Notamacropus eugenii: one gene and its partners. The protein of the gene in region 2 interacts with the protein of the main gene of each other region in a biochemical or structural test. Links are inferred from orthologs where the notes say so. Each region holds a gene or a part of one and is shown on either strand. Other genes may lie near its edges. The genes, in order: NPPC, NPR2 and NPPA.

Evidence for each region.
Region 1: the proteins of NPR2 (region 2) and NPPC form a complex in vitro, tested with the Homo sapiens proteins (3 studies listed by BioGRID). The link is inferred for Notamacropus eugenii from reciprocal best matches to the Homo sapiens genes NPR2 and NPPC.
Region 3: the proteins of NPR2 (region 2) and NPPA form a complex in vitro, tested with the Homo sapiens proteins (3 studies listed by BioGRID). The link is inferred for Notamacropus eugenii from reciprocal best matches to the Homo sapiens genes NPR2 and NPPA.

The regions. Positions count from the first base shown.
Region 1 is NC_092873.1:58,222,491-58,232,880, forward strand, and holds the start of NPPC (C-type natriuretic peptide), read left to right. Parts: upstream 1-5,230; 5' UTR 5,231-6,038; coding exon 6,039-6,125; intron 6,126-6,588; coding exon 6,589-6,894; 3' UTR 6,895-6,914; intron 6,915-10,390.
Region 2 is NC_092872.1:79,356,540-79,367,231, reverse strand, and holds the start of NPR2 (atrial natriuretic peptide receptor 2), read right to left. Parts: upstream 4,374-10,692; 5' UTR 4,148-4,373; intron 3,621-4,147; 5' UTR 3,570-3,620; coding exon 2,903-3,569; intron 1,960-2,902; coding exon 1,754-1,959; intron 1-1,753. UniProt on the Homo sapiens protein: Receptor for the C-type natriuretic peptide NPPC/CNP hormone. Has guanylate cyclase activity upon binding of its ligand. May play a role in the regulation of skeletal growth.
Region 3 is NC_092876.1:51,274,105-51,284,007, forward strand, and holds NPPA (natriuretic peptides A), read right to left. Parts: upstream 3,307-9,903; 5' UTR 3,210-3,306; coding exon 3,099-3,209; intron 2,962-3,098; coding exon 2,644-2,961; intron 2,426-2,643; exon of another isoform or gene 2,197-2,425; coding exon of another isoform or gene 2,137-2,196; intron 1,895-2,136; coding exon 1,889-1,894; 3' UTR 1,612-1,888; downstream 1-1,611.

The DNA of each region.
Region 1 (10,390 bases), on a different chromosome or scaffold from region 2:
GAAATGGGCCCTTCTCTGGCACAGGTCCTTCCTGTCTTTGAAACAGCTGAGCTGCTGCTCTTGACCCCAGAGCCTCTGGATGTCCTCACATGCTCCCCAGCTCCCCCAGAGGCCCCAATCCTCTCGATATAGAAGTGAAGATCTCAGAGGGTGTGGTTCTATTGGTCTTGAGCTGTCTCCCCAGTGCCTAGCAGAGAGCCTGGCACACAGTAGGTGCTAAATAATTACATTGATCATTCACTGTAGGAGAGAGAAGTTTGCTGAAAATGAGAAAGCTTTTCCCCTTTTTAGTCTCTAAATTAAAAAAAAAAAGTGAAAGAATAAATAATGACATCATCTGCCTGCACAGGAGAAAGGGGTTGGGGACCATCTGAGGTAGGCAGTGAAAAGGGGCCCCAGGACAGGGAGAAGAGAGCAGCTGGACTCATCAGGTGGTAGTTTCCAGAGACCAGCAAAAAGCAATGGATGGGAAGCTTTCCCAGAATCTTCAGCCTGCAAAGCCTGAAACTTTGAATGACCCACATGCACATGAAAAGGTCAGGGAGGCAATGAGGTAAAGTCAGGAATGGGCTGACTTTGGAACCGTGGAACCTGGATTGGAAGCTGGCTTCTCTGCCTGCTTCGAAGGCAAGCTGATGGTACCAGAAGTAGAGCACTGGACCTGGAATCAAAAATCAAGCCCCAGACACTTCCTAGCTGTGTGCCCCTGGGCAAGTTACTTAATCTCTGCCTCAGTTTCTTCAACCCTAAAATGGGGATAAAATAGCCCCTACCTCAAAGGATTGTTGTGAAAATCAAATGAAAAAATAGTTGTAAAGGACCTGGCACACTGAAGGCCCTTAATAAATATTTCTTTCCTTCTTCCTTCCTTTTGCCTGTGTGACCTTAGACAAATAAGTCATTTCATTTCCCCGGGTCTCAGTTTCCTCAAATATAAAATGAGGGAGTTAACTTAGGTAGCCTCTGAGGTCCCTCCTAACTCTAGACCTAGGAACCCATGAAATGGATGCAGATTGTCAAACATGATGAGGTTGGTCCCCTCCTCCCACTCACAAACTGGAGAAATAGAGAACTGGACAGATAGAAAGTCTCAGAGTAGAGGAGCTGACCCTGCTCAAATCAGATCATGGAGAGAAAGGAGCTGAGAGGTGGACACCTTGTGTGTGGATCCTACTTGGGATGTGGTCCAAGCCAGAGCTGAGACCCCGGTGGGTCCCAGAGTATGGGCTCCAGTTTCTCCCTACCAATACTTTAGGCCAGGATTTCAGCTGAACCTGAGCACTAGAGATATAGTGCCCAATAAGGAGCAGCATACAGATGTCACCAAAGGTCGCAGAAGGTGTATGCATTGCCTTGGCTATATACATAATCTAGTGACTGTGCATCTCTACTAGTATATTCTATGTGTTGTCCTCTCTTCCCATTGACTTTATGGAAGTATACCCCCAGTTTAAGGGGGAGATGTTCTGTACCTATTTTGATTGCTGTACACTTTCAGGAAATTTCTTTGTGCTCATTTTTCCACTTGGTTGACTGCTGGAGGGAAACACATGAGGGGGGCTCATGCGTTATAGTTTAAGGAATGCAGGCCCACGAAATGTATTCAACCTGGGTTATAGAGTTGGAATTAGGACCTCAGAAGTCCTCTCTTCCAGATGAGAAAACAGAGGTTTAGACCTGCCCAAAGTTATACAGGTAGAGCCAAAATTCAAACCCAGGACCTTTGTCTCCAAATACAGTTCTTTGCAGTACACCACTGACTGATTTGATTCCGTTCCAGAATACTTGGGCTACACCCTCAGACTGAGCCTTTAGAAGGGACATCTAGAGAGAATCAATCAGCAAATATTTCTTTAAACTCCTACTGTATGCCAGACATAGGTGTGGATCCCCCCAAAAAAACCAGTCCCTGTCCTCAGCCACATTTTATTGTGAAAAGGTTGTAAAGGTAGGTTATAGGCACATGCAAAATTAGGGAAGAGGGATCAGGAAAGGTTTCATATAGAAGGTCACTCAAGACACCCTGACGTCAAATATTCTAGGCAAGGAGACCAGAGATGATGTGGAGAGTACCTGAGAGGCAGAAAGAGGTCAGTTTGACTGGACCACTGAGTGTTAAGAGTGGAGTAGGCACAAGGCTAGAAAGGTAGGCTAGAGACAAGCTGCAAAGGTTCTTAAATGCCCAACAGAAGAGTCTGCATTTGACCATAGAGGTAATGGGGAGCCATTGGAGTTTATTGAGTAGTGGAGGGACTGGACAGACGTGTTTCAGGAAAATCTCTTTGTCAATCTAGAGAGAACCAGTTAAGACAGGTAGAGAGAAACCTGTAGGATACACAGACTCCGGTTACTTGAAGGGGCGTCATCCACCTGCCTTCATGCCTCAGTTTAAGTAGCCCAGCACCTTGGGCATAGTAGCACTTCCCCACCTCCAGACCACCAGCAGGCCTCCACAGCCATCATCCAATAACCCTTGAGAAAACAGGAGCCCAGTGTCTGCAGGTGCTGCATCCTTGCACCCCCCCCAACCCAAACAGCAGCTGGGTCAGCCAAAGTCCCACAAAACAAGTTCCTGCCCCCCAAATCTTTGGCACCGTCAAATCAGAAACAGATTTTTTATCAGTGGAAATGGCACTCAAGAAGATATCTTATCATCTGCCTTGCTGCTGCGCCCTCAGGACTGGGGGAGGGGGAAGTGCCATCTGTTCTGTAGCTGGGTCCTCTGCCCTGATAAAATGTGAGCTCCCTGAGAGCAGAGGCTGACATGATTTCCTCATTGTATCCCACCACCCAGGATGATGCTTGGCCCATCGAAAGGATTGCTTTTATACTCTCTGAAAAGGAAGAAGCCTGGACTGTTTAGGAGATCAGTTGTGTCTTTTCTGTTGGATTAAATAAAACTCAGCCTGTATTTCATATATGAAACAAATTGCATGCGAAGGTGAGACTTTTTTCTTTTTCTTTCTCTTTTCTTTTTCTGTAGAGACACAGACACAAAGTGTATTTTTCGGATGTCCTCAGGGGAAGCCTTGGGTCAGGGCATGAAGAGAGATTAAATGTGGTCAGAGAAATCCACATAAGAGGTTCCTAGTGATGGGGTACACATGTGGCCCTCTAGGTCCTCTAGTTCAGCCCTTTGACTTGAGGATCTGGAGGGCGACATGTGGCCTCGAGGCTGAAGGTTCCCCACCCCTGGATTAGGTAGAAACAGAATTCAACTTTGGGTCTGTGGAGGTCTTCTCTCCAATGGGGAAATGTGTGTGTGTGTGTATGTGTGTGTGTGTATTTCTGTAGCTTTTTTAGATACAGTTCCAATTTTGACCTTTCATCAATTCTACAAGATAATGTCAGAACATGAAGAATTCTCCGTTATACTTTTGGGGATACTGAGGCACAGAGAGGTTATTTAGTCCCAAACTATAAAGTAATTCACTACAGAACCCAGACAAAAAAACTCAGTCATCTTAGTGGTCATCATACAGATCACCATTTTTTTAAAAAGGGGAGGCAGTATAGTATAATGGTTAGGGCACCGGACAGGGAAACCAGCATACAAATCTCACCTCAGACACTTAGTATCTGTGTTACTCCGGGCAAGTTATTCCTCCCTCGGCCTCAGTTTCTTTCTCTTTAAAATGAGGAGGCCGTCTGGCATCAGGGTCCCGGAGCTCTCACTCGAGTTCTGAGTGCCCTAAGGGCAAAGCCGAAGCGAAGCGAGGCCCCCCAGTTGTTCGCAGCTCCAAGAGAAGAGGAAATCTGGGCGAGTCTCCGACCCTCTGGATCCCCTTGCTCTTAAGGTTTGGAGAGGGAAGGAGAGAGCAGGAGGGAAAAGAAGCCACCATCCCGGGAGAGGCTGGAGCCAAAGGAAAAGGGGTGAATCAGCGAACACTCGAGCTGCAGGGGAGAGGGCGACCCTGGGGAAGCAGCTGGAAGCTGGAAGCCCCCCGACCGTGCCCTTGGAACCGCGCATCTGGCCCAGGCAGAGCACCTCAGTAAAACGAGATGGGTGGGGTGCGAGAGGGCATCCCTCCCCGATGCTCGTCCAGTCGGTCCTCAACCCCAACCACGCCCCGTCAATTCCAGTGAAATTTATGGGATTTCCTCCCGCGCCCCTCTGAAATGAGCCCCACAAGCCTCCTGCCTCTCCCGATAGGACCCTAGGGCGCCTGGAATTTTCAGGGGAGATCCCTAGTGGGAGGATGGGGGCACCAAGATCTCCCCCCCCCACCCCGTCTACTGAAGGGGCTTCACGGAGGCCAAGGGAAGTATCTAGGGGTATCCCTCAAAGGAAGTACCCAGCAGCAATCTAGGATCTCTCGTCCTCCTCTTCAGCCGTCTTCTGCATCTTCTGGGGACCCTCTCTTTCCTGGGTGGAGGGAGGGAATGCTAAGCGCTAGTTCCCTCCTTTTCCACTTGACTCTTTTCTCGACTCCAACCAGAAGAGCCTGGCGAGCGAGTTCTAGTATGTTTGAGGTGCGCAAGGAAGCCCCCGCCACCCGCTCCGAGCTCACAGCCCCGGGTGAGGCACAGGACAGGTCCCGGCCTTCCTATCTTGGCGTGTAGTCCGAGGGGCAACGCAGGAGTGGCGTGGGACTCGGCCCCTAAGAGCCAGCTCGCTCGTTAAACAGTTGAGGAAACTGGGGCACAGGGACATTGAGTACCATGCCTAAGGTATCTTAGGTGGGATTTGAACCCAGGTGCTTCCCACCATACCAGACTGCTTCCCTTACTGACTGGCTGACGACTACATTCCAGGTCACAGTCTCCTCAAGTGTAAAATCAGGGAAATAACACCTGTAGCGCCCGCCTCCTGTCTGGTTCAAATGAAATCTCGTGGGTTAAGCCTTTGAGCGCAATGCAAACACCACTTATTAAATGTGTCTTAGAAGAAGAGGAGGCGGGCAGAGGAGACGGGAGTGCCCAGAGTCCACGCCTGTCCTTTCTCCTCGGGAGTGCGGAGTGGTAAGAGGCCACCTGGCCAGAATCGAACAGCGGCAGGCTCCGCGAAACAGCCCACCCATCACCGGACTGACCCACTCCTGTGCGCACTTGCGCTCGGCGTGGATAACCCCATCCCACCCCCCGTGGGGCCAAAGGGCTGGCTCTCCTTCAGTGTGCCAAAGTGCCCGGGCCGGTGGGCAGCACCAAGCCCCGAGACCAGCTATCTCTTCTTGGAGAGGAGCCAGCAGTGGCGGCCCCTGGTGGAGTTACGGTCAGAGGTGTGCAAGCTCCAGCCCCGGGCACTGATGTTCATACGCACGCACCCACCCACCCATTCAGGAGCCTTCCTGCAGGTGACAAGAAAACCGAGGTCTGAGATCCAGGGAAAGAAAGGAGCTCGAGACCCAGGGTTAAAGTCAAGGGCTTCGGGTTTTCAGTCCCCAGCTCTTTCCATCGGACAGCCTCCCTTCTCCTGCCTCACCAGATAGAAACTGGACCCTAGAACCCGCCCAAACAGGTGCGAGACGGGTCACTAACTTCCAGCACCCCAAGGCAGCCTACCCCCCAGTTCTGGTCAGTCTCCAGAGCTCCCAGCAGGAGCCCTGTTGGCGCCCCGGTCATCGGGCGGAGTTGGGCTCGAGACTCCCCCCGGGGCGCAACACTGAATCCCCCCCTCACCCGCTCCCCCTAACTTCCCTCCCAGGCCCCCTTCCCAGGCCCTGGGGACTGCAGCCTCGGCTTGTCATTGGTCGGGAGCGCCCGCGGGAGCCCCAGGCTCCGCCAGCCGGGGTGGGCGGGGGGATGACATCAGTGGGCCGCTTGGCTTATAAAGGCACTGAGGGGAGAAGCCGGGTTCAGAGCGCTCCCAGCCGGCGCAGCTGAGCAGCCGCAAACGAGCGCAAGTCCACTTGGCACCCCCGCGGCACTCCGACTCCACTGCAACGCGGCGCTGGGCAGCTCGGGCAGCGCCGCTCTCCGCCCGCTGCGCTGCGCTCAGCTGCGAGCGCCCGCCGCCAGCTCGGAGTCCGGCTAGCCATCCTTCTCCGCAGCCCTTGCACCCCTGCACCCCTGCGCGGGCCCCAGAATCCCCCAGCACCATGCACGCCTCGCAACTGCTGGCCTGGACGCTGCTTCTGACGCTCCTCTCCCTTCGCCCCGAGGCCAAGCCAGCCGCGCCGCAGAAGGTGGGTGCCCCTCTCTCCCCGGTGCAGAGGAGGTGGGGAGGGGGGGCAGATTTGCCTGGGGAGAAGGAGAGTCCTTCCCGGGTCCCTGGGAAGTACTTAGACAGTCGGCCGGCCCCGCGGGATCCCCGGGGCCCAGGGGAGGTGGTTTGGAGTTCACAAGAAAGAAACCCCCTTTTTCCCTTTCCCGGGTGACAGAAGTAGGGACGGGCACCTGGCCAAACTTAGGATGCGCCCAGGAGCGGGAGGCACAGGCAAAGTGCCCAAGAGTCCCCAGACCAGAGGGTCACTTGGAGGGAAAGAGGGCGGGGGCGTTGGATGGCACAGCAGGTGAATGATGGTGCTCCCCGAGAAGGAGAAGGGTCGGGGCACAGGTCGGGGCAGAATCCGCGATCTTGCGGCGCAGGGGGTAGTGAGGGTGCTTTGGAAAAGGGGTCTACGTCTACATCCCTCCTGCCCCCGACAGCCCCCGCGGACCCCGCCTGGAGAGGAGCTGGCGGGGCTCTTGGCTGCAGCCGGCGGGGACAAGAAGGGAGACAAGGTGCCGGGGGGCGGCGGCGGGGGCGGCGGTGGGGCCAATGCCAAGGGCTCCAACGCGCGGCTACTTCGCGACCTGCGAGTGGACACCCGCTCGAGGGCGGCTTGGGCGCGCCTTCTGCACGACTACCCCAACGCGCGCAAGTTCAGAGGCGTCAACAAGAAGGCCTTGTCCAAGGGTTGCTTCGGCCTCAAGCTGGACCGGATCGGCTCCATGAGCGGCCTGGGATGCTAAGGCGGCGACCCCTGGCGGCGGTGAGTTTCTCGGACCCCTCCTCCTCTGAGCCCTGGAGCAGGTGCCTGCGTGAGTCTCAGTGTCCAAGATCTAGAAACTGTCAGAGAACTTCCCTGTCCAGCAGCCTCCCTGACCCCCATTTTATAGATCAGGAAACTGAGACCAGAGAGCGAACCAGGGTCACAAAGTGGCAAGTGAAAGGGATAGAGCTGATTGGGAGTATGAAGATCCAGGTTCAGATCCCCTGACTCTGCCCTGCATGACCTTTGGCACTTCATGCCTTCACGGGTCTGTTTCCCCATCTGTAAAATAGGGGTTGGGTCAGATCTAAATCTAGGAACCCTAACTGCAGTCAGGATTTGAATTCTGGTCCTTCTATTCCAAATCCCAAACTCTTTTCTACTAGATGAGTCATGAGTCAATGGCAAGAGAACTGGGGTACAGACCCTTGGGAGTGTGTCTCTTTCTCTGTTTCTGGGTCACTAAGTTAGACCTGGAAGAGACCTCATAGATTGTGTGCTCCAGCCCCCTCGTGTTATAGATGAGGAAACTGAGGAACAGGGAAGGGAAGAGACTTGGCCAAGGTCACCCAGGTATTATTCATCAGAGGCAGGATTTGAACCCAGGACTTCTGACTTCCTTACACTGCACCACACTAAGACCTTAAGCTACCTTGGAGATCATCTGGTCCAACTTCTCCCTTTTACAGATGAGGATACTGAGGCTCAGAGAAAAGAGAGTTGACTAAGGGTGCACAACTAATAAGGAGGAAAGTCAGATTCCAACCCCTGACTCAAAGATTCCATCCCTTCCTCCTCATTTTACCCTCTGGGGAAAAAGGACTAATCTTTTTTCCACATGATGGGCCTTCCAATACCTAAAGATAGCCACCTCTTCTGTAAAATGAGGCTAACAATCCCAAAGGCACAGCTGTACCATATTCCCATGATTCCCTACCACTCCATAATCCCTTAGCTGCAGGGGAGGGATCTCTATGCCATGGCTGTAGCCAGCTTTGGCAAAGAGCCAGCACATGGCTCAGGGAAGGCAGTTATAGCCTGGGCTTCATGCCCACAATCCTGAAAGGCAAGGGTCTCCTCTGATGGCACCAGGCAGCAGAAGCCTGCATTTTCTCTGTTTAAGAGCAGACAAGGCAGTTATCCCTGTTGGGTGAGAGGTCAAAAAATGTATAAGGGAGGGGGGACTGTTGAGGATACTACTTCAAAGCCAAAGATGAGTACACTGAGAAATAAAAAACATGGATCTGTTGCAGCTGGAGTCCCAGGGGGTAGGATGCCCATTAATTGTACCAGGATGGGGTGGGGAGAGGGGAGGGGTGGAGAGAAAGTATTCTTAAGTCCCATGTTTATAAAGAAGATACTTCTTCACAAAAGCAAATAGGCACTCCATCCCTCCTGTTTTAACTGCAAAATAAACAATTAACTGTGTGTGTATATACATATGTATTCACAATTCAAATAACCTGTATACAGAAAAATAGTCTGTCCCATGCAAGTCATGGCTCCTGAGAGCCCTGTGCAGAAGACACTGCGCCCAAGGGTGTGGAACCTTGGCTTTGAACTGTTCGAATCTTCTACCTGAATTCACCCTAGGATGTTGGATTGAAAACAAACCAACCAACCGTAGCCTCTTTTTAAGCAGGAACAAAGACCCCTCTCCTAGGTCCTGATGCTAATGCATCCTACGTACCTCTGGTGAGGAATGCCTGGTTTCCCTATCCCAGCTTAAGGAGAAGTCAAATCAAGTAGATGAGCCATCCCACTAGATGTAAACGTTACTTCCTTCCTTCATTGGTTGGACTGCATCCAAACCCATCAGTCTGGAAACACCTTCCCTCTACAGAGTGGCAGCTCAAGCTCCTCTGTAGCTTCCAATATGGGAGAGCTACCTGGAAGACGGAGTGAGACCCCTCCCATCCCCTTCTACCTGCTCTAGAATTCAGCTGTTCATCCCTTCTCCCAACTTCAGCAAAAATGCACAGACATCTCCCTGACCTGGTAGGGATCTCCCAGAAATGATGGGGAGACAACGGCTTTCTCCTCTTTATTATCTGCCACTCTCTTCCTTTCACAAATGGGTAAATGGAAATAAATAACTGGCTCTTCAGTATTCAGGCGGCACCTCACTCCCAGTCTGATATACAAAAGGTGCTTCATGCTAATTGACTGTCCCAAACATCCGAATCCACTCATTCCACCCTCCCAGGATTTGTCATAGAGGAGTGTAGAAGTCTGGGGTCTCAGGAGAAACCAGCTCATCCAATGTCTGGGCCTTCTCATCCACCTCATTCTTAGATTTTGCTCTTTGCCTCCATTGTAGCAAACCTAGCAATATGTGCTGGGTGCCTGCATGGAGAGAACAAATTCCCAGTCCCTTTGACCTCTCTAAGCCTTTATTTCTTCATCAGCAAAATGGGAATGATCCTTTGTAGTTCTAAGTCTGTGACTCACATGGTGTTGTTGTAAAGGAAGAGCTGTATCTGCCTGAAAGTACTCAGAGAACTGTGAGCAGTGACGGTCACCTATGTCTCTGTGCATTTCAAGACAATCAGTGCAGCTCTTGGCCTGTCCACCTGTCACTCATATCACATGATCTGCCCACCTCCTTTTCTGATCATTTCTGGACTGATAATCCTGAGTGAAACCGAAGGGTACAGCTGGAAAGAGTACAGAACCACAGGATCTGGATTCAAATCCCACTGCTCATGCTTACTGCGTGTGTGACCTTGGGCAAGTCACTTAAACTCTGTGGTCCTCAGTTTCCTCATCTGTATAATGAGGGGGGTTGGACTAGAGAGCCTCTCAGGTCCCTTTCAGTTTGAAATCTTTGATCCTATCCCTCTTTGCAAGTCTAGATCTTCATTGGAAAAAAAATTTAAAGGCAAAACAGTCCTTGACCTCAAGGAACTAACATTTTATCTGTTTTTATGAGAACTGCCTTGGTTACCAGTGAGCCACCGTGGCTGAAAGATTTGGGGGTCCTACTTCTGACCATTCCTAGCTGTGTGACTGCTTAACCCTCACTTCTTTGCAGCATCTAAGGGTTCCGACCAACATGTCCAGGAATCCCAGAACCTTACATAAGCAGGGACCAGAGTATGCTCAGTCTTAGTCATAGGAGAGGCCCTGGCTCCTGGACAGAGTTCAGGATTTCCCACCCACTAGGTGACCTTGAGTGACCTTGGGCACAGGCCTTGGCTTCATCATCTACAAAGAAGGGATGTTGTGAGAAAAGCATTTTGTAAACTTTAATGACACCATGGAAAAAGAAGTCGAATTAGAATCAAAGGGTCTGGGTTCAAACTCTGCCTCTGGTACTTACAAACTGTGTGATCTTGGGAAGTCACTTAACCTCAGTTTCCTCCTCTGTAAAATGAGGAGGTTGGGCTTAGTGTCCTGAGTGGGCCCTTCCATCTCCAGAGCTGCCTCCCTTTCTTCAGTTTGTTAGATGAAAAGATCTTTCGTAGTTCTAAGTC
Region 2 (10,692 bases):
CAAATCTTGTCTTCCTCTGTTCTCACTTCTGCTCCACCCCATTCTATGTTCTCTCATACACTATTTCCTCACTTGATTTCTTCCTTCTCATGCCCAATTGCCATCCACATTGCCATCATTCCTACTTCCCCTATCTTCCAGATATATTTTTTTTCCTGCTTCCATGAGTTTCCTTAGGTCCTCTCAGGACAGATGGAATAGGTCTAAGATCCTCCACATTTTTCCACCTCAAGTTGTTACCTCTTCTTTCAAAAATGTGTCTCTCTCCTTTCCTTCCAGCTTTTGTCTGATTACTTTAGAATATAAACCTCCAAAAGCAGGAGAGGCTTACAAAAGCCTTCATCAAAGCCACACTTGAAAAGTACAAGTGCTTTACAGAGCAACACAGAGCAGTGGGAAAGAAATGTTGCCAACAGGGAGAAAAGAGGTGGGCTGGGCTGAGAAAAACAAGAGAGCAGGTAACTCTTACTTCTGAGTATGATTCCCAGATTTCCAACTCTAGTCCTTACAACCCTCCCCTTCCCACCTGAGCCCCAGTCACAGAGCTGCCTATTAGGCATTTTTATTTTGGTGTCTTGCTTTTATCTTAAAATCAGTACTTCGACAATCAAACTTGTCATCTTCCCTTCCAAAACTATCTCCCCCTAAAACCTTTTCTATTTCTATTAATAGTACTCCAATTCTCTCCACACTCAAATCTTCAAGGCTATGGCTGATTTTCCATCTCTCCAATATCCAACCAATGACTAAGTCCTGGAGATTTATCTGACAAAATATTGTCTTGCATTCAATCCTTCCTTTCCATAACCACTCTCCTCACCCTTATGACCTGAGGTTTGAACAATGCAATAGCCTCTTCTAGGCTGGTGTCTCTCACTCAGGTGGTTCCCTCTCATATCTACCCCCAATGCCATTGACAGAATTATTTTCCTAAAGATAACTCTGATCATGTCACTCACCTCCTCAAAAACTTGCCATGAATCTGCCCTACTACAAATAAAGTCCAGACTCTTTAGCCTTGCATTCAAAGCCTTCCATGATCTGACTTTACTTATATAACCTTATTTCACATCACTCACCACAATAAACCCTCCTTGGTCAAGGTAATCTCTTCACTGTTCCCCACGTAATATGCTGTATGTCTAACCTCTCTGTGTTTGCTCATGCTATCCACATCTTCCCTAGCTTCTATCCCTGAGCCCATTCTATCTTTATGACCCACCTTGAAAGCCAAACTTAAATCTCATTTCATCATGAGGCCTTCGCTGAGACCTCTGCCCATACAAAATTCTGCTTCATTTCAACTCCAAAAGCGAGTGCTATACCAAATGTTTTGGCACAGTATCTTAGACTGCCTCATCAGTAGCTAACTGTCCTATGTACACTTTGTTTCCCAAGTAGGAAATAAGATCCCAAGGGCAGGGAATGTGTCTTTTTCCCCTTCATTTTCTCCACAGAAGTCCAACACACAACTGGGCACATAGTAGGTGTTCAGTACAAACTTGATTTGTTGCAAAAGAAAGAGCAGGCCAGGATCTTAAGAACCTTGCCATACACAGTAATAAAAAGTCACAGGAAAATGACTTAAAGGAAATGGATGGATCATTTTCTTTATAAAATTCATACTCTGGCTCTGGGAATGCCATAGGGTGGGGGAAGAAGGGAGCAATTTACCAGGAAACACTTCTCTCCCTTTTCCTCTTTCCACAGCTGACATTCCACCTACCCCTACTCCAGCTTCCATCCATGTTACCTGAAAGGCCTCCCTGAGGGCCTGGGTCTGCTCTCCAGTTCGATTGTCTTGCCAGGGCCGACCTCGGAGGCGGGTGGGGCTGGCACGGAGGCTCTCCCCAAAGACATCCAAGTAGAAGAAAACGTAGTCTCCGTTGGTTAGGTTTTCTCTCTGGGCCTGAAGCAGGATCTCATGCAGCATCTCCAGGGGGCCACAAATGTACACAACTGAGGGCAGGTATTTAAAAATGGAGTACCCTTAGAAAGTGCATCCAGCAACTCCAAAGTAGCCCTTTCCCCTGGGCTTGCAAGCTTTCTATTCTCTGTATTCCCTTCAGCAGAAAAGTGAGAGCCTAAATCCATTTAAGTCTCCAGAACATACATCTCTTTCCCCAGGAGTGTGTTGAAAGTACCCTGGGGCCATAAGGAACATCTGGCATAAGTCATAGCTTGACCTCCAGAGGGAGGAAGGGATGTATGTTCTCCCTATCCCCAGCCCCTCTCTCTCACATTCCCACTTCCTCCTAGTCTTCACTTCCTCAGTTCCCCCATTCTGCTTCTGATGGGAGGAGGGTTGGGAAGGAGAAGAGGGGTGGAAGGAAAAGTGCAATTTAGGGGTCACGAGCTTAGAAACTTTAAGTTTAAATCCCGACTGGCTTTGCCAACCAAACACACTCAACTTTAACCCAACTTATTGCACCCTAAGCAAAGGACATTAGTTTGAAAAGGATTTTAAATACAGCAAAAGGCATCTGGAAATAGAGGAGGAGTATCCTTTGGAGTTTAGACCATCATATCCACAACTACAGGATAATTTCATTTCCAACATTCTATACCTCCGACAATACCACAAAACCTCATGGAGCTCAATACCCCCACTCCTCCCTACAACTAAGCCTCTCACACACTATTCCCACATGCTCCTGTTACTTACATCTTCACAATATCCCTTAGTCTTCCAACCACAATGGCCAGATGCTTCCCTTCATAATCACTTCTCCCCCTCACAAACCCCATTTCTGTCCATATCCATCTTAAAGCTGTCCACATGACTCCTCAGTATCAATCTTTACTAACAAGTTCCTGAAATCTCCACTTTGCCTCCACGTACCCCTGAGATGCCTATCTCTAGCTACATACAACCCCAAGTGAAAGCCCAAGCTACACTCACTGCGCCCATTGGCCCGGATGAAGTGTGTAGCCTGCTCAGGACCACCTGGTTCCCGGGTATACACCTGGTGCTGCACACTGAGATTGTTGCCTTGCAGGGCCTCAAAGACCCCTTCAATTGTGAAATAATGGGGCCGGTCATCAGTGCGGGCATCCAGATACAGCAAAGCAGCACGGGCACTCCAGTTGAAGTGCCCATGCAATGTCACCACAAACTCGCCCAGTTTAGGGGCAGAGGGCCCAGTGCGAACCAGTGTTCTGTAGTGCTCACTCTTGGCCGCAAAGCCTGAGGCCACAGCACCTGCAGTCAACAGGGGCAGCCGCCAGTGTGAGGCAAAACGTGCCACAGAAGCAGCAGGGTACACACAGCCAGGACCCAGAAGAAGGTCAGGGTCATTGTATAGCTTCAAATCCACAGCATTCAAAGGCGCCAGGTACTCGGAGCAAGCGCCATCCATCTCAGAGCTGACAAAGTGCAGGTCCACTGGCAATGCTCTCCCCAGGGCTTCCATGGCCAGTGTCACAGCAGGGCCCACCCGTGGCCAAGCCCAGGCATAGCTTAAGTTGTGTTCAGGTAGCACCACTGCCAGGGTTAGATTCCGGGGCTCAGGGGGGCGTGCCCCACCCACCAAAGCTGCCAGCATCAACAGGATTGGGGGCAGCGCCATGAGGAGAAGGCAACTGCCCCACAGCCTCAGAACTCTGAAGTCCCTTTCGGCCTATAAGGGAAAGACACAAACCCCAGCCTGAGACCTCAAGGAACAAGGCTAGGGTAGGGGCTAGGAGATGGCTGGGGAGACTGAAGCTGGGACAGCTTAGGCACAAAAATAGAAGAGAAATAGGAAGCTAGAGAAAAGGACCAGGAGGGAAAGTAAGGATGGAGTTGGGGATGAGATGCCCTGAAGCTATGGTGGAATAGAGGGCCTGGGGTGAGGGGCATGGGGGGGCCTACGAAAGGAGGAGATCAGAGGGGCCTGAGGCTGAAGAAAAAGAGGTCTAATGCTGAGGGAAGCCCAGGAGCAGAAAGGGGTCTGGGGTGGAGATGGGGCCAGAGCTAGGGCTGCGGGGGCCTGGGCCTGGGGGCCTGGGGCTGGGGCTGGGGCACGGGGGGCTCGCCCTCCCGGTGGAAGGGGAGAAGGGGAGGGGCAGGGAGGAGGCACAGGGGTGTCCATGTGGGGGCAGGAGGGCCGGGAGGAAGGAAGCGGAGGGGGAATCTCCGGGAAAGGCTTCTCCCGAGGGGGCTGACCTAGCGGACCAGGGCGCTGGTCCGGTCTCAGGCTGCGGCCCCGCCCGTGGCCCGGCTCGGCTCCGTGGCGCTCGGCTTCTCCCGTGGCCCGGCCTTCGCTGGCCGCCGCTTCCTGCCGTCCGGGCCCCCGGGGCCCCGTGTACTCGGCCAGCTCCGCCCGGCCCGGCCCGGGCCCGTCTCCGCTTGCTGCGCCGGTGGCGGCCGAGTGCGACTCCCGGGGCAGGCCGCCCGCCCCCTCCCGGCGCCTCCCTCCCGCGGCCCCTGCCCCCGCCCCCGCCCCGGCAGCCCCTCCTCCTCCCCCTCGGGCCCCACCCTCCCGAAGCGGCGCCCGCCGCCTCCCACTGGGGCTGGCCTCCCGCAGCTCGGCGCCCCCGGGAGACCCGGCACCCCTGGGGGACCCGCCGCCCTCGGGGAACCCGGCGCCCCTGGGGGACCCGCCGCCCTCGGGGAACCCGGCGCCCCTGGGGGACCCGGCACCCTTGGGGGACCCGGCACCCTCGGGGGACCCACACATGGGAGACCTGCCGCCCTCGGGGGACCCGCACACGGGGGACCTGCCGCCCTCGGGGGACCCGGCACCCTCGGGGCACCCGCACACGGGGGACCCGCACACGGGGTGTCCGGCCCCCTCACCCGGAATGGCCTGGCTGCCCCCAAATCTCTCCGAAGCATTTCTCCCGAGCCCACTTTCCCGGGGCCCCCTCCGAATAGTCTGTCTGCTCAGAGTCCCCTTTAAGTCCATTTCTCTAAAAGGCGACCCAGAACCCCAAAGGCCCACTAAACCCTTCATCGTTTTACTTCTGCAGGACACCCTATTTTGAGGGGCTGGCTGGTAACATGCGTTCCTAGAAGGCTTTCTGGTGATATTCTGCTGCTCTTCCGAGGCCTTCCCTTTCACTCCTTTCTGTATCTCCAGGTCCCTACAGGCCCCTCAGCTTCCCAACAAACCTCAGTGGGATTCTTATCTCCCTACTATGCTACAAAGGCTTGTGAGCTCCATCTTTCCTCTCTTGTCTTTGCAGTTTCCAAACCCATGCCATACTACTTCATCTAGGGAAAGGAGCAGTACAGCGGCAGGGTGGGCCGGTAGGAAGAGCCATATTCCTCTTCTAGGGCTCACCACCTATCTGGCCACCAGCCAGTGAGCCGCCCTCTGCCTCAGTTTCTTTATTTGCCAAACGACCAATTGCACTGGATGGTCCCTGAACATGATCCTCTCCAGGTACTACTATATTGTATCTGTTCCTTTGTCTTGCTGATTGGTTGGTGCACTGCCCCACGGTGCTCAGCAGCACAGGCACTTAATCTATCTTTGCTGACTAAGCAGACTTTCTTACAACCATGAAAATTTAGTTCAACCCAAGGCCAGAAAGGTATTTCTTTTGGTTGAACCAGAACTAAGTAAAAGATAGAATATAACAAGTCTTCAACAAGTCCTTGACAGCTGAACTGGGCCCCAAAGTCTTCATTTCCAGTTTTGTGCTCCCTCTTTGAACCACCACTCCTTTCTTTACCCCCTGTAAGTCTAATTCCCTTCTGGGGGTCCTGCTCTATCCCTGAAGAACAGCTTATCATATCATGAATTGCATCATGACTGCTAGGAGGGAATATAAATGAGACCTTGAAGAATTCCTTTTTCAGAAGAGAAAAACTAGAGATGAAAAACTCACTTTCTTCCGACTAAAGTGAATACTGGCCAAAATCAGGCCAAACCTCAGGGCCCCTCAGCTAGCCCTAGTTGCACATCTTACGATTTTTTGCCTCTGATATTTTTACCCCTTCCAGCCACAGTTAAACAGATGTCACTGCCCTGGGGAGAGAGCTCCCAGGCAGACAGCACACAGTTTCTCTGAAATTAAGGCGACATCTGGTGGCTTCAATGTGGAAATCCAGGAAAAATTCAATTCAATAATTCTAAGTTATTTATTGACGACCAACCAGGCAATGGACTGGGGAATGTAAGAAAGGTATATGACAAATCTGGTGTACAGTTATCTAAATCCAAAACCATATGAGCTGTATCAGCACTCAATCAGTGAGGTAAAAATAAATCCATCTCATCTTGAATGACAGCGAAAAAGGAGGAGAGAGCCCAGAGGGAAAGAAACAGATTGAGATAAACATAACTATAGTCAGAGATTAAGCAAATAACATTTATTAAGCATTCATAAACAACATTTTGTGCCAGATATTGTACCTGTCCAAAACAACAGTCCCGGCTATCCAGGAGAGTACAATCTAATGCCAAGAGTGACAGGTTCTAGACACTCCAGAGTCACATAACTGCCTACAAACCTACCAGAAGAAACAGGAGTTAGCTAATTTTCTGAATGTAACAAAAACCAATGCATTTTGTGTCAGAGAACTTGAATCAGAATCTCATCTTGGCTATGTATGGAGCCCACTGCACCAGGGGTCTGATTTATATTTGACCGCTGGCCACAGACAGCTCCAGAGGAGAGAGCGAGGCTGGTGACTCTCCACAGCCCTGCCTCACTTAAATCCAATTCACTCATAAGTCATGGTATCACCTCCCTGATGCCAGGGTCCTCTTTGAGAACGAAGGACGAGCAACAACAACCTATATGGACAGGTCACTAACCTCCTCTGGAATCATTTCTTCATCTGTAAAATGAGGGAATTAGACTAGATTATTTCAAAGTCCCTTACAGCTTTAAATCTGGTGAACAAATTCTATTTTATGCTCCTGATATAAATCTTTTCTATACTTCTGATTCCTGTCACTGAAATTTATTCTTATCATCTATCTAGAGGACTGAAATTCCAGCTTCAGGTAATTCAACTTTAGTTATACGGTGAGCTCACTGTAATCTTTGCAAAGCCTGAGTGCTTTCAGGACCCTTACAGGTCCAAGTGGCTTCTGTTATCCCACATATATATTCCTTAACTTTCTAGTCCCCTGTGAAGGTCCAGCCTAGACAGAGGCTGGATTCCTAGGTCTGGATCCAAGTATGTGGAATGTCTGTTACAGAGATACACTGAGGGAAAGACAGGGTCCTAGAGGGTAGTGTGGTTTGGAACCACTCTTAATTCCACAAGAATGACACAACCCAAAGGAATTGAATTCTAGGAAAACCAGCAGGGTTCAAGTTCATACTAATATAAAGTAAACCCCAAACCCAGACCTCCAAAGTCTGATCCCCAGTACTCTCCAGAAGTATCTTAAAACTAACCTAATGTCCCAGACAGAGATGAATTTTGAATTCTCAGGTTTGCTTTAGACAAGAGGAACATAACCTCCTCTGGGGCCTCCAAGATTTCAGGGCAATAAGTACTCCCTCCCCATGCCAGTCACCTGTCTCACGTTGCCAGGTCTATGCCAAATCAGAACATTTGGGATGTTCTTTCTTCACATCAGATGGGACACAACACCAAGAGAACCTGCCACAAAGGACACAGAAGAGCTTTGAGAAATAAGAGAAACCAATAAGGTGTATTTCAAAATAATGCTTTTCAATATGGAGAAAAGATAGGGAATAGAGGTAAGGAAGCAAAAAGGTTTGTGAAAATAAGTTGGAATTCATTTAAAATTTTTTTCATAGATCATCTCATCTTTTAGCCAGAGCCAGGGTGGTAGGCAAAGATTCCCATAATCCCAGACCATGAGGCCACTACTGTGCCCCACGCCCACATACACACACATATTCCCAAAGGGCAGGGTCACCCTGTAGGCGATGAGGTATATTGTAAGACAGACTCCCATGACCAGACCAACTTCATTTAAACCTTAGGGCTGAGGGCCTGCCAACAGAACTGCCATAATTTTATTGAATTCAAAAGACAAATGGCTACTAAGCCCTGGACCAGGAAGGTGGACACGGACTGAAGCATTCAGTGTAAGTAATTTCCTTAGTTTTAAACAGCCTCCTCTCAGCAAAGTGGGAATTGATTTATCAAATCTGTAAAATCTAATCCATATGCTAAGGGATTTTAGCTTGCATTAACATATTTTTAAGCTAATGAATTTCTACAATCGTCCAAACATTTAAAATTATTCAAAAACATTTTAAAAGCAAACTCTGGCTCCCAAATTACTTGCCTGGTAATGTGTTCTAAAAGGTCTATCTGAGGGTTCAGAAAGGCCTGCTTCACAAAAGGGTATTCCAGGGAAGTGGGGCCTCCAGTTTTCAGCTCCTAGTGTTGGAGTTTGAGAAATGTCAGCAGAGGTGATCGGGAACATCTTCAGCATCCCTAGAAACCAGGCAAACCCAAATTTCAGCCACGCCCCCTACACCTAGGCCTAAAAAAACAATTCAACAAATGCGGACTACAATAAAATATTCTTTATGCCATAGCCAGTACCTTTATGGAAGCTGTACAAAATGAAACCATAAACATTCAAGATAGACAAAAGGCTTCTATAAGCCTGTAAATGACAGATACACGAAAGGTGAAAAAGCTATGGGTGATTTAACTAAACATACCCTGAGGCCACTCTTGGAGGCCACCAACTGTTTCTGCCATGAAGAATATCTCAGCATTTTCAAGAACAGAACAGTGAACTACATGAAACGGGACAATGTCTTTTCTGTTCTTGTACCACATGAGTAGGATCCATTCTTCTTTGAGATCCTAAAAGGCAGGTTCATGGAAATCATGTAATAGAAAAAGCCTTGACCTGCCCTTGAAATCAGTGATCTAGATTTGAATGCCAGTTCTATTTACTATCTAATGTGACTTTGGGGCAAGTCACTTAAACTCATCAGGTCTCATAAAATGAAGGGATCAGAATTTATGATTTCTAAAGTTGGAATATATGATTTTCTGGCTCTAAAAACCTAAAATTTATCATCTTCCTATTAAGGCAACTAGATGGTACAAGATAGAGTGCTAACCTTGGAGCCTTCCTAACTGTGAAGTTCAACTCTGACTTCAGACAATTAGGAGCTGTATGACCCTGGCAAGTTTCTTAACCTCTGTCTGCCTCAATTATGGGGGCACTAATAGCCCATACCTCCCAAGACTGTTGTAAAGTGCTTTGCAAAACTTAAAGTACTAGAAATGCTGTTGTTTGCCATTGTTAAAAGTGTCTTAGAAACATTTGGCTCTTTATACATCAGACAAAAAGCTGGAATGGAAATGTGACTCCACTCCTATCACCTACAGCTGAAAATACGCTGCAATCAATTTGTTGAAAGTAGCTAATTCCTTTGCAGTGGGAGAAATCTGACTAGGACACCCCAACAGATGGATCCTCCCCTCCCCATCTGGCAAAATTATAGACTATAGGGAGCAGGTGACAGAGATAACAAGATATTAAGGAATTACATGAATTGTAAAGAAGTGTTACCCCTCGACAAGGCGTGAAGAAGTTATTGCATCAACCACAATGAAATGAAAGAGTACTTTAAAAAACAACATACCCTACACCGAGGGCAAAAGTCAAGACATAAGCCTGAAAAAGTTATCTTTTCTGTGATGAATCAAGATCCAGAGAAGTTCAGGTCCAGAGAACTGAGCTGATCTCTAGAGTACAGACACTGTGCCCAGGAGGAAGATCCTGAAGACATCACAAGAGAACAAGGTTGTTGAACCTGAGATCTGGCGGTGTAAGTTTCCTATGCCATATGACTCCTCCATATGTGTGCTGCTCTACAAGGGAACTTTCTGGGGTCCCCATTTTATGGGAGAGTATGCTCTAGGTTTATGCAGTGTTTTATATCTACTACTCTTAGGGTGTCATTTCAGTAAATGCCTTTGTTTGATCTAATTACATTCTCTGGTTGGACATTAAAAGTTGTAAATTGTTAGGGCTCCTCTAGGCCCACAGAGCATCTGATCCAGGCAAGTTCTACCGCCAGAAGTGGTGATACATTTTAACAAGAGGAACATAGAAACTTACCCATGGTATGGGGCTCAATAGAGGACAGCAACAATGTAATCAACATGCACATTTAAATTTTAGATTTTAAGCTATTTTGATAAAGTCCAAGAAGAAATTTTAGAATCTTCATGTTAAGGCCCATTTATACCCAGTGATACTACTACTAGGCCTGCTACTCAAACAAGATCAAAGAGAAAGGAAAAGGATACATACACACAAAAATATTTGGAGCAGCTCTTTTTGCAGCAAAGAACTGGAAACTGTGAGGGTTGGGGCACGGCTCAACAAATGACGATATATGAATGAAACAAAACGCTACTAAGCTTTACGACAGTTATATCAAACTCAAACAGAAACAGATTCCTGGAGGTACATATTAACTTAGAAAACCACATATTGACATCACGTGGGACTGTATTCTTAATTATTGTTCCAATTACGTTTTAATATGGTTCCCACCACACTCCCTCAGGCTGCCAGTTTGACACCTCTGCAATAAGAAATGATGAAAAAGATAGTTTCAGAGAAACTTGGGAAGACTTGTATGAAATGATACAGAGTAAAGTTAACAGAGTCAGAAGAACAATTTCTACAGTAACCACAACATTATAAAAAAAAAATTGGATAACAAAGAACTCTGATCAACACTCTGATCAACCATGATTCCATGGAACCAAGATTTAGAATCCTGACAGAGGAG
Region 3 (9,903 bases), on a different chromosome or scaffold from region 2:
GGACATACTGATGACTGAATTTCTTATGACACCAAGATTTTATTTGTCTCAGAATATCCTATAGTGTATTTGCAAATGTGTCCCAGTTGGCCAGCCCCTATGTCTACTGCCTTTTGTGTTAGGAACCTCAAAGAATCTAATTGCCTTTCTGTAGCCAAAAGGGCTTAGGAATTTCCCCCATACATCCTTCTGAAAAACAAAAGACATGAGAAAGGTAGACAGGGATTAGGGGGTGTAGATGTATTTCATTATTCTCTATGAGTGTACACTAGGATTCATTCTGGCAGACATGATTACAAAAGTATGTGTATGAATTTTAAGATTAATATATTTGTTCTCTTGTTGGTATCAGAAAAACTGGATGAATTATCATGAGGGAGGTTATGGCCTTCAGAACCAACAGCCTCTGAAACTAAGATGAAAAACCCAGAAGAGCAAAGAACATGAGGAGATAGTAGAATAGACCTAGAAAGGACATTAGGGATCACAGCACCTAACCACTTCATTTCATAGAGAACACTTTGTCACTTCCCCAAGGTCAAGGAAGTAATCATCTGGCTGACTCCTTAGGTATATGTATGCCCAAATCATCCATGACAAGGATGGAAAGCCCACCACCTCTCACTAGCTATTCAAGGATTTTATTACACTGAAGTTCTTCCTTTCAGATGAGATCTTTTTCTACTTTTTGCCAAAGTGATGTGGTTCTTTTCTCAGTTGGGTAGCATTATCGCTGGGAAGTGGTAAGCTTCTAGATAATTCTAGTTAGTGTTCTATTCAATAATGAGTTTGAAAGGGCCATGCTCCTGACAAGAGCCCCTGTTTTTGGCTCTCAGTCATAAGTGCTCATCATGTTCAACCTGCTGTTCGTGATGAAGTGGATAGGATAGCTCACATCCCCTGTCCCGTCTTTGTCTTCCATCCAACACGGAGACTAATGGCTACTGCATTTCCTTATCCTTTTTTTTCTCCAAATTTCCGTACTTACTGAGAACAAGGCTGTTAACCCATGTCTCCAGCCAATGTCTGCTGCCTGAGAAATGCCTGCTATTTTACAAGGACACTTGTTAGAGCCTAATAATTCAGGCCTCTAGCTCTCTCATGAAGATGGAATGGTGATTATATTTTAAAGTTTAGATGTTAAAATCCAGGAGGTTAGTAAGCCTTTTTAAAACCTCATTTACACTTAGTAAATGTTTTTATTCTTCTATTCTTCCTTCAATTCTAGTTCTATCTAGTAACCAAAAATAGTGCCAAACCAGACCAACCCCAGCAGTCAGCTCTCAGAATTGCCTCATTAGAAACATGTGCCCCAAAACTTGTATGTCAAAAAATGATGAGGAATTGCATGGGAAAAGAAAAAACCATACAATGTTAGATATGAACTACATTAGCCTCGAGAAAACTTCACTCGAATCGGTCTAAATAAATAGCCATTATGGCTTTTCTTTGCCTCCGCAGATATGATGAGAGGTGACTCTCTGGCTAAGTGATTTTTAAAAAAAAGAAAGAAAGAAAGAAAATTTTGCAGGCAGTATAATAGTCGGAATAGACCTGAATTCCCCCACTGTTTCCCTGTAGGAAACAAAGAATCACACCAGCCCGCGGCTGTTTCTGTCCATGGTGCTGAAGTTTATTCATTCTTGAACTGCTTAGAATTTAAACTCAGATCTAATGAATGGACAAAAACCGCCATAACGCCATCACACCATCACACCATTTTGTCTACATTCAAAATTACATTTGTGAAACAGCAAAAGAAAGCTGTAGCTTGAACCAGGAGCACAAAGCCCAGTTTGCTAATAACAAATGGACAAAATAGAGCCAAAGTCCCAAAGGATTTGATCTGACAGGGTCCAGCACGTGTTTTCCTCTTTGTACATTATCTTCAGAACTACAAAGAGAAGACAAACATATTTGGTTAGCAATATCCCAGCTAGATGACCTAGAGAAGGTAACATGAGATTGGAATGGATAGCAGGTATAAAATGGACAAAAAACACCCTTTATCCTTGATCTCTTAAACCACTCTTCCTTAGCATATTAAAGTGGATCCTCTGGGCTTCCAGAACTAGCAGACAGTTCAGACCATAAAGGGTAATTAAAGAAATCCTTATGTATTCTATTTTATTCTAGACTTTGGTGACTCTGGAAAAGAGTGAAGCTGATGACTTTGTGCAACTCTGCCTCACTTAAATCCACTTCACAAGCAAGTCAAGAGGTCAACCATCATCCACTATTTTACCTTATTATTTGCTTCATTTACATCATAATGTCATTGACCCTCTTCAAAAATGAAGGACCACCACCACCACCAACTCATTCTATTTGACCCTTTAATTTTATAACTCTAGAAAGGAAAATAAATGAAAGCCCCTCACATTATAAAACAATCTGGTCCTATGGAAGTTTTAATTCTCTAATACATCTGGTGATACCCCCTTGGAGAATCAAGCATTACTGTTACAGTTTTGTAGTTACAGATAGTCCCAAAGGCAAGAATGATATATTTCAAAGGGAGATATGTATCTAGTCCCTGCACCTGCTGAGGATTTCACTTGGTAGTGAACCCCTCTACCTCTGCTTGAATTTTAGCATAGCATATGTCTCTTTTCTCCCTAACCCATTTCCAGATCTCCTTACCCTAAAACTGTTGCAGCCAAGTCCACTTTGGGCTCCTATTCTATCAATCCTGCCCCCAAAGCAGCTGGAGGACCTCCTCAGACTACGAGGGGAAGTCAAGAGTGCCCGAAGCTTATTCTTCAGGAGGGCAGATCTCTCAGATTGCTCCCAAGTGCCCCGGTTGAAGTTTCCCTCCCGCTGGGCTGGGCTGACTTCCCCACTCCAGGAAGAGAGGGAGCTAAGTGCTTCCCCAGCCTCCTCATTCTGCTCATTAAGTCCTTGTGAGGCCATGACCTCATCTTCTAAAGGTATCTTGTCCTCCAGGCGGTCCAACAAATTCTAAAAAATCAAAAAGGGAACAAAGAGAGGAGTTTATGAGTTCATTACATTGGGGAGTAGTGACCAAAAAATCAAAACCGTACCAAAATACCACCCCTGGTTTCTATTGTCCCTGACAAGTCTCTCTCTGGTCCTACCTTGAAATCCACCAGGTCATTATTGGACACAGGACTGGCTTTGGTTCGACCTTGAAGCTGCAGGGTCAAAAGGAGGAGAATGCTGATGGAGATGGTAGTGAAGGAGCCCATGCTGTGATTGGTCGTCAATATCAGTCAGTCAAATGCTTGCTGTCTCTTCTGTCTCCTCTTCGCTCTTGGTCTTCTGACCCTGTTGTCTTATGCCTCCCAGTCTGCCTCTTTGTCTTTTTATATCCCCCTCCAGCACCCTGAGACCGCCCAAGGGATGTACCCCTCCCCATTCTGTCACTTGCAGTGATAAAGGACTGGAGTGAGCCAACAGAAGATGTCCTTTTAAAGTTATCAGTCCAGTGCAGACTGTCACAACCTCATTGTAGAGGTGGCTTCTGCACTTCAACGGTTGTCACAGCCTCAGGAACCCTAGGCTGCAAGAGTCACATTCTTGTTGATTTGGCTCAAGAGGTTTCACACTTTAAAGGTGTGAGAGGAACCAAAAAAATCCTTGATTATCTCACAAAGATGCCTCAGGATTCTTTGCTTCCTTGCCGTGGAAACAATTTAGGGAAACAGGATGGCTGGCCAGTACCCATCTCTCCCCAAGCTTGTTACATGAATGCTAGGGAGGTCCAAATAAGGACAAGAAAGAAGGAAATTACAGGCAACTTTCAACCTAGAGAAAGAGTTCAAGCTGACACAGACAAGCCTGGATGCTTGGGACAATTTTATACTCTTTCTTACTTAATTCAGATTCTTTCTCCTGCATGTGAGTTCCCAACTGTGGCTATGGTTCCAAGCAGCTGGGTAGAGCAGAGGTGAGTTGTTGTTTTTTCTCATAAAGACTGTGAAGTCAGCACCAAGGATAGAATGTGAGAAACACCCCATGGGAGAAACATCCTAATCATTCTGCTCCCACATATCAACACCAGAGAATATTTTCCTGAAGTCAATATCCCCCACTCACCACCCACAATACATACCCTTACTCTTCCATCACTTTTCCCTCTTGTAAGGTGTTGATAGAAATGATTATGAACCTAGAAAAAGCCACCATCATCATTCCATTGCCATGTGGTATCCTAGAAGCTATTAAATCAAAAGTCTGAAACTTGTATTGAGTTCTAGCCTTGCCAGAAAAAAAAAAAAAAGTCAATGGGGTGGGCCAATGTGGAGAGCCCTTTGTGGCACATACTAGTCTCCTAGATCTTTCTCTACCTCACATCAGTTGGTGCAGGCAAGTGACAGACATTTGGACCCCCATTTCTCAGTCAAAAACTAACAAGGTTCAATCAATATGAAATTTTTACAAACTGTTTAGCACTGTACTAGACATTAGCACTTCCTAGGCTTATAGATTTAGAGTGGAAAAAAGCATTAAAAGTTAGTGAGTCCACTATGTTCATTTTATAGATTAGAAAACTGAGGCAGACAGGTGAAGTGACTTGCTCAGGGTCACACAGCTAGTAAGTGTCTGAAGTAGGATCTGAACCCAGGTGTTTCTGACTCCAAGTCCACCGTACCATGATACATCTTTAATTCAGTAGTCACTTATTAATTACCTACAGTGAGCAAAGCAAGTGTATTTAAGGAAGAATACTAATTGGGAGGGATAACTTACAAGAAATGTGTTTAGGACACTTGATTGAGATTTGAGAATCCAGAACCTTTTACCCAGCAGCCCAAATCACAGAATCTCAGAGTTGGAAGAGACATCAGAGACCATCTAGTCTAACCCACACAGTGCCCCTCCTTTCAGGAAGCTTTCCTTGACTGATATGAGCCATGGTCTAAAATTAGCCATCATCAGTCCTTCTGTCACTCTTGCAATGGCTGCCTACCTTTGTGGGGTCTTTCCTACCTTCTTCTATTAGACTGTAAACCTCCTGAGGGGAGGTTTTGTGTAGTCGTTATGTACTCATTCATCCTAGGGGCAGCTAAGTGGTGCAGTGGATAGAGCACCAGTGCAGGAGTCAGAAAGACTTGAGTTCAAATCTCACCTCAGACACTTGACACTCACTGTGTGACCTTGGGCAAATCACTTAACCCCAATTTTCTCCTCCTGGGTCATCTCCAGTCATCCTGATTCAGGTGGCTCTGGAGGAAAAGTGAGGCTGGTGACCTGCACAGCCCTCCCTCTCTCAAAAAAGAAAAAAGACAAAGTGAAGTGCAAGTCATGTCATTATTTCTCTGATGGCATGGTCTTCTTTGACAACAAAGGACAAACACACATGTACAAACACACCTAGCACATTGTTATATGCTTCATGGATGGTCTAAAAACATGTTAACTGATAGACCTTGTACTTAATCCTAGTTTTTGGTTAGATTTGGAGAAATTCTCCATGGTGCTAATTTGTTTATAAAATGAAGAACTGATCCTGTTCCATCCCTGCTTCTCATGGAACACCATGACCAGGTCAGTTAGGTATTGTGAGCTTGTTTGTATTGTGGAGTCACAAAATCTGACATTTACAAAGGATTTTAGAGGCCAGCTAATCTCACTCATATCTGAATAAAAGAAACCTTCACTTGCATGATCTCTGCAAAGCCATCCTCTAGATTCCAGTTGAAGACTTGAAGCCGTTCATTCCATTTTCAAACAACTCTAATTGTCATGAAGTTTTTCCTGGCATCAAACCTAAAGTTGCCTCACTTCAGCTTTCAGCCATATTTCCTGGTTCTGCTCTTGGGAGCAAGACTAATCCCTCAAATGCCAGAAGATAATTGTCATGTCTTCCTGAGTTTTATTCCCTCATCCAGGCTAAATATCCCAATTTTCTTCATGAAATCTAATATTTTTCTAATAAAGATTGAATTGCATTGCTATAATCCTCAGTAAAATTACTTGACCAGTGGGTTTCAGGGCTTTGGAAGATGATGATGAAGAGGAGGAAGATAACTGGCATTTGTGTGATGCTTTAAGGTTTGCAAAGTGTTCTACATGTTATTTAATTTGATCCACACAAAAACCTGAGAAGTATGTGCTATTATTATTCCCATTTTATAGACGATGTATCTGAAACAGAGAAAGTGAAGTGACTTGCCCAGTGACCCACTTGAATTCAGGTCTTCCTGACTCCAAGTCCAACACTCAATCCACCTAGATCCCCATTGATGAAGAATACAATATTGAGCCATTTTCAGTTGGAATTTGGTAGGCCAAAGACAACATTCTCCTAATGATGCTGCATGATTCAAGTCATAAGTGCATGTCAGGTTATTTTTAGTAAGGCTAGTTTGACAAGAAGCTGTGTTTCCGAGAAGTAATTCTTTCTAAGCATGTCAGCCTGCCCTGTCCTTGCCCTTCTGAGACAGCCCTCTGATGTGGGTGTTATCTTGGCAAATGGCATACCAGAAATGACATAGGGCAGTCTCTTCTTTCCACCCTCCCTTCCCTGACCCCTCCCCCTCTCCAGCTGCTTTTGCAGGCATCTTGGGGTAAAAGCAGAAGTCACTGTCCAAGGTTCCAGATTATTCAGAATCTATTTTCTTTTTCCTGAAGACTTCTTTCCTCTCTGAGAGCTAGTATATGGAAAGACAATAAAACTTGATGGGATTTTTGGATTAAGATCTGGAATAGACCTTAGGTATTATCTCATCTAATTCCAAAATTTTTCAGATGGGGAAACAAATAGCTTGTCTTGCATCGTTACCATGAATATTGATTTAAAGCCCACCTGTCAACTGTTTATTAGCAGAAGAGGCAGGGAAATCACAGATAATCAAGATCCATATACAATCCCCTCTCCACACACTCCAGTTACACTGGGCTCACTGGGCTTCCTATGTCTCAAACACACCTCTGTGGTTACTCCTTTTCCTGGCTGTGTCTGGAAGATGCCCACTTCATCTCAGTCCTACTCATCCTTCCAGAAGAACTTCAAACACCATCCCCTCCCTGAACCCTTCCTTCTTTCCCCAAACTCAAGCCATAAAGATACTTGGATCTCTCCAAGTACTTTGTGCCTCTTAAGGACTTACCAAATTCTCCCATTCACCATAGTTATTTGCACATTTGCTATATCTCTCCCCAAAATAACTACCATTTATTTAATTGTGCTTACAACTTACATAGTCCTTTATATATTTTATCACATTTGATCCTCACAATAATATTTGGCAGTCAGTGCTGGGTGACCTCACTTAAACTTTGACTGCCTTAATTGTATAATGATAGCATTTACCTCCTAGAGTTATTGTGAGGATCAAATGAAATATTTGCAAATTACTTAGCACAGTGTCTGGCTCTTAGGAGGTATATGATAAATGCTAGATTCTGGCCTGTCTTCCTTCTTGACTCTAAGTTCAGAATGAAGGATTTAGAATTTCATTTTCCCATTAGCTTTAACCTCCTCCCCCTACCCATCAATTTTTCTTCTGGGGCTTCCAACCAGGAGAATTGTGTGACTTGACTTTCCATTCCTTTCCTCGCCTTTTCTCAACGTTGTATGGTATATTAATGACCAATGAGATTTTCAAGAAGCCATGTTGTAAGAAGGAGAGGGAGAGATTGCAAAAAGGTTTGGACATCAGCCTTTTCTTTCCCTTCTGGCATCTGAATAGAAAAATATTAGCCGTATTTTTATGCCCTGGAACAAAGGAGGTCATTTGCTGCAGAGATGAGTTGGAGGGCAGATCTTACTGATTCAGTGCTTTCTTGCCTTCTTTGGAGTTGCTCTTAGCTCCTCCTTAGGAGCAACTGTTATCATAGTAAATGTCATCGATATCACACACATATGGAAATCAACTGAGAAAAGTCCATGTCCCTACAGCACTTTGTAGTTTACAAAATGCTTCTTGATCTTCAATTGTGTGAAGAGCCGACATGTGGAGCAGAAAGTAGATATATCTTGGTCCTGAGGACAGAACCAGGCATGGAGCTGCAGAGAAAGGGGGCTGGGTTTGTTAGAAGAGTTTGTTGTCATCATAATAAGAACTATCAAAAAAGGGGGAGTTTGCCTGGGGGAGGGGTAAACTCTATCTCAATAGAAGTCTTTGAATAAAAGTTGGATAACCACTTACTTGTCAGGAATGTTGTAGGGCTGGAAGAGACCTCAGAGGCCAATGGGTCCAACTCCTCATTTTATAATTGAGGAAATTCAGTCATCTAGAGAGTAAATGATTTGCCCAAGGCCATACAGGCTGGATTTGAACCCAGTCCTCAGACTCATTTTACAGAATAGGCATGTATTAGACTAGATGGCATATGAGAATCCTCTGAATTCTATGTGTTTTTATGACTATTCATTGAAATGAACAGGGGAAGTGTTACTTTCTCCACTTTATGGGTGAGAAAATTGAGGTCCAGAGTAGTAAGTCTAAAGCTTGAATTGAGAACTTTATCCACACCTGATGTCTCTAACTCTAGTGCTATTTCCTCCATACCCTCATTGTCTCCCATTGGTATGTGGCGTCCCCTACAGGACTAAGGAAGAAATTACTGTGCTTTGCCCACAGTAAGCACTTGATGAATGTTAATGAATGCTGTGGTCTATGTGGAGAATGGAGGGAGATGGACAAAGCCTCTTTGTTGAGAATTCTGGGGCTACATACATTTCTTTCCCCCTCACACACACTTCTTTGGTGAAATGGGAAGGCAGCTACAGCAGAGAACAGAGAATCATGAGCCAAGGATGGGTCAGCTCTAGAAGGTTTGAGACTTTCAACATCTTTTTCCCATCTCTCAACTACCCACACTGAGAGTACTCTGCCATCCAAGCCTGGGTTTCTCCAATACCCCATTAAAAAAGGGCTTTATTCCCTTATCTGGTCCCTTCATTTTGCCAAAACTTATCCAAGATATACTTATTCTTCCAATGAAATCTACCTTGAACCTGATGTGTTTGGGGGGGTTGGAAGAGTAGGGCCTGCCTGAAGTGGGGGTTGAATAAAGTTACATAAGTAGCTAGCTAGTTAGCATTTATATAGTGTTTAAAGGTTTGCAAAGCTCTTCATTCTGGGAGGTAGGTGTTATTTTTATCCCCATTGTACGGATAAGAAAACTAAAGCAGATAGAGGATAAGTGAATAGCTCAGGGTCACACAGCTAGTAAGTTTATCTGAGCTTGAATTTGACTTAGGTCTCCACTTCACATTCAGTGGCTACTAAGTGATAAGTAGGGTGGGTCTGGATTATAGAGAAAACTACTCATATAACTTTAGGTAAATCTCATCTCTCTGGCCTTAGTTTCTTCTGTAAAATTAGGAGGTTGGACTCCAAGAGCTCTGAGAGCCCTTTCAGTTCTAATGCTATAAGCAATGAAAGAGTCTCTTAGAACTTGATCGTAAATGCACACACGATTGGTTCTTGAGCAAGAGAATGACATAAGAGTTAGCCCTGAAAGGAACCTTATTCCTCTCCCCCCCCCCCCCTTTTTTACACATGAGGAAACTGAAGTCTAGTGGTGAAATGACTTACCAGATCACCATGCTGGCAAGAAGAACTTAGGCCATTAAGGAGTTCTTTGAAGGCAGGGATTGGTTTTACCTCTTTTTGTGTCTAGCATTTAGAAGGGCAGCTAGATGGAGCCATAACAAAGTCAGGAAGACTTATCTTCCTGAGTTCAAATCTAGCTTCACACTCTTACTAGCTGCATGACCCTGGACAAATCACTTCATCTTGCTTGCCTCAGTTTCCTTGTCTATAAATGAACTGGAGAAGGAAATGGAAAGCCACTCCAGTCCCCAAATGGGGTCAGGAAGAGTCAGGCATGACTGAAAAATGACTGAACAGCACTTAGCACAGGGCCAGGAACACAGTAGATACTCAATAAATGTTGATTGATTGGTTGATTAGGCTCAGGGCTTTA